Linked DNA regions of Drosophila melanogaster. The gene in region 1 interacts genetically with each later gene. Each region holds a gene or a part of one and is shown in the gene's direction. Other genes may lie near its edges.

The links.
Region 2: of Col4a1 (region 1) and org-1, changing one suppresses a phenotype caused by changing the other (phenotypic suppression), as found in Drosophila melanogaster (one study listed by BioGRID).

Annotation. Positions count from the first base shown.
Region 1 is NT_033779.5:5,027,630-5,031,387, forward strand, and holds the start of Col4a1 (collagen type IV alpha 1), read left to right. Parts: upstream 1-1,979; 5' UTR 1,980-2,117; exon of another isoform or gene 2,118-2,181; intron 2,182-2,507; 5' UTR 2,508-2,588; coding exon 2,589-2,608; intron 2,609-3,112; coding exon 3,113-3,161; intron 3,162-3,225; coding exon 3,226-3,758. UniProt on the Drosophila melanogaster protein: Collagen type IV is specific for basement membranes.
Region 2 is NC_004354.4:8,453,444-8,457,201, reverse strand, and holds the start of org-1 (optomotor-blind-related-gene-1), read left to right. Parts: upstream 1-2,132; 5' UTR 2,133-2,907; coding exon 2,908-3,070; intron 3,071-3,758. Other genes in the region: CG32713 (uncharacterized protein), read left to right, coding at 1-196.

The DNA of each region.
Region 1 (3,758 bases):
TTGGATGGAGGTTTGGATGTAGATGTGACTCCGGGCTCTGGTTATGGTTCGGAATTTAGCACTTTGACGCCTTGAAACGAGGAAATGAGGAGCAGAGCCCTCTAACCAAATCAAAGCGGCCCGATTCTAAGCATACAAATTCTATTTCCCATTTTGGTACCGTATCCCTGAAGGGGTATGATCAATCAGATTCTCACTTTGTTCTTTTTATTAGGCACGTCTCTTGGGAAAATACAAATTATTAAATAATTTATTAATTAATGTTACTATTACTAACTATTACTAACAGGCACATACCATTTATACATAATAACCATCCGCATATAACTTAAATGATAGTTCCAACTAGCGACACACGATATTTCTTGCGGGGTAAAAGCTATTCTAATACTCAATCCCAGCTATCCTAGTGATTTCAATACAATTAGATGCTAGTTTGTTTGTCGCGCTTCTCGTGATTAGGTTAAGGCTTTTTCATTTAGTACTTACATATATGGCATATGTGAGGCTGATAAGACGGATATGGCTGAGTATTTCCTGTTAGAACGAACTACTGATCAACTGAAAACCGAACATGAGTTTTAAGCTCCAATAAGTCCGACGCAGAAAAGCCAAATGGGAACCTTTCGAAATTCGAGCCTGATTTTGGGTTTCGGGGCCACAGTGTTTTGAAATAAGTCTTGATAGGGCGGCTATAATCAAGGCCTCGTTCTAGTTGGGAAAGCTCTTTTGTTCTAGGGTACGTGCAAGTCGGATATGGCCCAGTGGCCTGAATATATGTCTTCTCAGGAAACTGCTGTGATTAGGATATTAAATGATGTCGCACTTCGGCAACTTAAAATCTTATTAATTTATGTTTAGAGCGGTATTAGTAAGTATTATGTCGTACTTACTATCAAAATGAATGGATCTCAATAATTATTATTAATTAAATAACAATAATTATTTTAAGTATGTATAAAACTTGGCACTTAAAATGAAATTTCATTTAAGATACATTTAGTTTTAATAAAGCGTAGATAGATACAAAAAAAATCGAAAAAAGACCATTCTTTGAAACAATAATTGCATCGACATACTAAAATCAATCAAACTAAAATATTTTGTTTTAGAAAAGAATGGAATGATTTGAATAATCAGTTATATATAGCAAATAAAAATATACCAAGTAAAGCTTAAAAAGAGATTTAATCTTCAAAACCTTTGTCAAATTAATTATATCAGTTTTGAAAGCTAGAGAATATTTTTAAAACTTAGAAAAGGACTATAATCCTATTAAAAGTAAAGTATATGCCAATAAAATGTTTACACATGTTTTTGTTATCCTTTAAGTTTTAGATATTTTTATCATACTTATTGTAAGTACACACAAAATTTTGATGAGGTTATAATTAGAACATTGGCCTGATAGCGAAGCCTTCGGAATTTCCCTTGCCCGAGCACCGAAAAAAGTCCAAAAAGCAGGAGCCGCAGGGGCGGACCAAAACGGAAGCCATGTGCCCGATCTCAGGGCGGGGGCTATCAGCTAATTTTGAGATGGGAGCTGGTAGCTGCGATCTGGAAGCTGGGATCTGGGAGCCGGAGAGCTGGTTGAAGGTGCTCCCGGGGAGGTGCTCCGGCGGAACGAAGCTGATGTGCTATTGAGCAACTTAAGTCGCATGTGGCATATCAACAGCAGCGACGGACTTATCGCCAAGTTTCATTCATTCCGCAGCGACTATGTTAACTTGTGGGATTAGTGTTGCTACATACGACGACCCGTCGCCCATCCGTTCTATATGCCATGGTGCCACCACCCACCTCCCACCAGCCACCTCGCAGCCATCGCAACCGATCCGATGCCCATCCAATCCCCGTCGAATCACACGGATAGTGTACATGAGCCGTAGACCCGATCGTCGAGATCGTGCCAAGCCGAACGATCGACGAGTGAAGATCGGGGCATCGGCGTTTGGCTTTTGGATCGCTCGAACTTATACTATAATTAGTCGTGTTCCGTCTCCCCGAGTAAGTAGTAGTCTGGTCTCGGTCCGGAGCTGATCTGGCCAGCTGGTTTTAGTCTTTAGTCAGCGCTGTGGAGTGGTGATCGGTTCGGATCGGATCGCTCGGTTGTGAATGTGTGTTTCCATTAGGGTCCCGTCCCGTCCCGTCCAACCGTCCCTTAAATAGGATTTGATTCCTGTAAGGAACTGAGCTTTTACAACAACAAAATAATATAAACATAAAATATCTTAATTAAATCAGGAAGAACGCGTACTATTAATTGAAAATATCCAGCAAGTCGTTGTGCGAGTCTCGTACCAGTTCCAGTGCCTCTCAAACTGTCGCGTGTATATGCTTGGAAATGAAATGAAACGAAATACAAGAATTAAATCGTTGAAAAAAAATAAGCCAGCTCGATTTTCCCACAAATATTAAATAAAATAATATTCCTCTAAGAATATTTCCAATTTATTTTGCAACTGTTGCGAAATTAAAGTGCCCAATTCTCTGGCTCATCTTTCCAGGCCCAGCGACGGCAACATATAAACTTCAAATTCGACGAGGACAGAGCAAATAATTGTGCAGGCTTAAGTGCATAGGGCATCATGTTGCCCTTCTGGAAGCGGTAAGAAAAATGACAAAAGTTAGAAAAATAATACAAATGGTTGCAAAAATTTAAGTTAATCAAAGAAAGCAATTGTTAATTATTAAAAACCATGACAATAATACTTACTTAACAACTAATAATACTCTATTTAAAAATTTAAAATTTTTTTGAAATTTTTAATGATTAAAACCCAGTTATGGCCTAAAAAAGTATTGCCAATTTTTTTCTTTCTAATCCATTCAGAAAGAGCAAATATTAGTTTTTAAATTAATATTTTAGATATCAGCAATACAAAAATACATAATTTAAAACATCACATTTGTTCAATTTTTTTTTAATTTTTCGAAGCGCGATCTCTTAAAAACTTGTAAGCTCTCTCTTAAGCGCCTTTAGCAAACTCTCTTGAATTGACGGCTTAAGAGAGAGCTGCCAATCGAAGAGAGCTATGTCCAATTAAATAGCTAGACTGATAAGACGAAGCACAGTTCCTAACCCTCCTGATCTTCGTCGACTTCTTTGCAGGCTGCTATACGCCGCTGTGATCGCGGGAGCGTTAGTCGGTGCCGACGCTGTAAGATAACCGTAGCCCATGCCATCCATCTGGACATTGAATAATATACTCCTTTTCCCCGCAGCAATTTTGGAAGACGGCTGGTACGGCCGGTTCGATTCAGGACTCCGTGAAACACTACAATCGAAATGAACCCAAGTTCCCAATCGACGACAGTTACGACATTGTAGACTCTGCCGGCGTGGCGCGCGGCGATCTGCCGCCCAAGAATTGTACGGCCGGATATGCGGGCTGTGTGCCCAAGTGCATAGCGGAGAAGGGCAACCGTGGTCTGCCGGGCCCTCTTGGACCCACGGGATTGAAGGGCGAAATGGGTTTCCCTGGCATGGAGGGACCATCTGGTGACAAGGGTCAGAAGGGTGATCCCGGCCCATACGGACAGCGTGGTGATAAGGGTGAGCGCGGATCGCCTGGTCTTCATGGTCAGGCTGGTGTACCCGGAGTCCAGGGACCCGCCGGCAATCCCGGAGCCCCTGGTATCAACGGTAAAGACGGTTGCGACGGACAGGATGGTATTCCTGGCTTGGAGGGTCTATCCGGAATGCCCGGACCTCGCGGATATGCCGGCCAGCTTGGCAGCAAGGGCGAGAAGGGTGA
Region 2 (3,758 bases), on another chromosome or scaffold:
ACCGGACGACGAAAGTCAACTAAACTTCAACGCAGGTGACGATGATGATGCACTGGAGGCCCAGGACATGACTGGACACGATTTGTCCTCAATTCAAACCGATGATTTATCGCTCAAAGGCCAGACGGAACCGGAGCTGGATTGCTCCATTGGATCTCATGGATTCTCTGGATCTCAAGAAGAAGGCCACGAATAACGACAATGAGAAGTAGACTGTTGTAAATTATCTTAAATTAAAAATATTTAGTCGTCATTTAATTTCGAAATTCCTTTAAGCCAAACGCTTCGATTTGGAATCTAAATTTACGATACAATAATAAACCTTTAGTCGATTTCGTCCATGATGGAAATTTTACAACAAATGCATTACACTCATTTATATATAATATTTATATAATCGATAAAAAAGATCGAATATCGAATTTATGAATCATTTAAGTAATTTCTTCGAAGCAGTTAGCATTTCATTTCCAATTGTTTACACTCAAACAAATAATTAACGACTAAAATGGCATGGCCAATGCCATAACAATTTTTCAAATTTATGTATTATTTATGGACTGCATGGTACGATCTGCTGCGATCGAAATGCTTCTGAAAATGCCAAAAAAAAGGGGAAAAAAAATTAACTCAAAATAATTGTAAACAGTAGTGCGGCAAACGAAAATCAGGGAAAAACATTAACAAGCAGTTGTTCCATAAATCCAGGACGCAACTGGATGCGTAGATTTATATGGAAGGGGTGAGTAGGAGGGAGGGTAAACAAATCGATTCACTTGGAGACCCCGTGTGCCAGGTAACATATACTACTACATGCTATATATAATAGATATACCATCTATATGTATACATATGTATGTACCCACTAATTGGAATGGCCGTGGCTGATGAAAAGCAGACGCACCCGGTTAATCGGGCTGTTTCACTTTGATCGGTCCAGTTTTCTCGGCTTCCCCGGATCTCCATCTCCGCTGGGCCCACATTCCGGGCTCCAATGGCCAACAGACGCCATTTTCGACCGCCCATCTCACTCCCTCTTGTGGCGGAGGTGGTGGCCGCCGCTACACTGAGCGCAAATGTTGCTCACAGCTAATTCAAATTTCGTATGAAAAATTAGCAGTAATCCTTTTTTTTATGTATTAAGTATTAATTCATATTCTCTTCGTATTTCTTATGTTTAATGCAATTTTTTCCAAAAACTTATGATTATTCCAAATGAATTGAATTTTTTGGGTGCGCCTTGCCAACGTCTTAATATTCCGTTTTCCTTTTTACGGTTTATTTAGTGTCGAGGTTATGGCGCAATTTGTATTTATGGCCAACAGCAGCAGCAACATCTCGGCTGCACTGCAGCATTGAGCGGAGCACCGCGAGATCCACGAGCAACCAGCACCACCATGCGTGCGGCAGTCCAATTAAAAGCGTTTTCCAAATGAGGCCCATGACTCTGGTCGGCCACCCACTCCACGGGCCACGCCCACTGATCAGCGCGCCCCCCTGAAAAAAAAGAGAATGAAGAAAACAATATGCAAAAGTGGGGATCACCTGCTCCTCCTCCTTCTTGATCTTCTCCACCGCCTGCTGTTTATGGTCAAAGACCACGCCCCTTCAAAAAAAAAAAAAAAAACAAGAGAGAAGTAAACAGTGGAGCAGAAATTAGTGAAACGTGTGGAGAGTACAGTGATCTATATACTCTAAAGGATACCTCTATACTATTTACATGCATTAAGTTATTAATATGATCAAATTAGATTACATAAATATAACTATGTTAAGCATAGTTTGCATAAAACCAAACAAAGAGTTGCAGATAGCAAACCCCAAGTGTTCACCAAGTTCTAGGCCTCACTGTAGCCACATCTGGTAAATGCCTTGCGCGCACCCTACGCTCAATTCTGCGCGGCATATTCATCCACTTGATACTAGGCTAGATCCCAGGCGAGCCAACACATGTCGGTGCGATCCAAGGAGGAGTAGAAGGAGGAGAAGGAGAAGGAGGAGGAGGAGGAGATGGAGGAGGAGGAGGTGGCCGTGCGGCCATTGGTGGATCGATTGGTGCGGCTGGCGAGTCTAAATTTGGATGCTGCGGCCGGCGATTGGCGGATAGATTTCTCGATTTGGGGAGATGGTCCGTACAATGCGGCATCTTGGGATCTCGAGAGGCAGCGATGCATCTGCCCAGCAGCAGCAGCAGCAGCAGCCGCAGCAGTAGTTGTTCTCATTCGGCGGACCAGCGCTTGACGGAACGGATGTGTGCGTGATCAGAGATCTAGGCATCCAGAGATCGCATTCGAAATCAGATCAGATCGATATATCCGCGAGATATAAACATAGGATACTATACGGGATAATCAGTTCGCACTTGGCCGGAAGAAGGTGGCAATTGAGACAACTCAACGCTTTCTGCCAGTCGAATTAGAAAGAAAACAAATAAAAGAAGTTCAAGTCAATCAATCAGCTAACACAGGGAATTAAAAACAAAAAACAAAAAAACAAAAAACAAAAAACTACAATCGGGCAAATTTTCGCCAGTCAACGCGATCGGGCCATAAAAACAATTCGAAGAGAATTAATTTGATTTTTCATTCGATTCTTGAACTCGATCTCGATTCTGATTGACAACAGCGAAAGGTTGGCGTTGGATTTTCGCACCACTACATACTTTTTTTTTGCAGTGCACAGTGAGTGAGTGAGTGAGTGAATGAGTGAGTGATTGTGTGTGGGTGCAATAATCAAATTTGACAACTGCGCGAATAACGTTCGAGATCAAAACAAATTGTGCCGGAATAAATGGAATAAATGGGCCAAGAACTCGCTGCGATTTCCTTTCTTCCACTGTGAGCATCACATATCCAGCCATCATATATATATATCATATATATATATATTCCAACGATCACGCTCGCCATGACGCACCTGATGGGCCCCACTGAGTGCGCCGGCGCCATGATGACCACCACATCCATGCAGTTCCTGGACACCAGCCTAACGGACTACAACTGCTATGGCAACGACTACTGGACATCGCCGTACATGACCGGCGGACTCAGTCCCATGAAGCAGATCGAAGGTGAGTCGTTTGAGTTGACTTAAGCTGGAGAGGATTAGGCAACTCTACCGCGGAGTATTTTAAATCGGATATTAAGATATTAGGTTGTGTACCTTTAAAAGTCGCAAACAAGCATACAAGTAGATTTTTAATATGTTATAACTTTTGCATGAACTTTTACTTTTGTTTAGACTTTTAAGTCCTGTAAAGTATATTTTTTTTTTACTATCTGTTTCAAAACTTAAACTAGAAAATAGGCTTTTAGTTTATATTAGCATACTACTAGTTAAACATATTTTTCCAAGATTTTATTAGCTTTACCTTTCAGTTCAATCGAATGTACAACTAAAACTTCTTAAATTCAAATATATGCTTTAAATATTTATCAAAGAAGTATCGCGTAGCAAACAAAAGGCGAAGCAACAAAAAAGTCATATTTTCCATTTGACTATTCGATATTATGTTTTTTGTTCAAAAATCAGGCAATGGAATTTTGCTAGCAAACAAATGTATATATTCCATATCATTTGTCTGCCTGCAAGTGACCCAAAAAACTGAAATGGAATCCGTTTGCGATAGAGTAATTAGCAAAATACACCGAGCATGGCAGCGGCGGCACAAATGACATCCAAAAGTTTAAAAAAAAAAAAACTGAGAAACTGAGAAACTGAAAACCAGAGAATCGGAAAACCAAAAGATCAGAAAACCA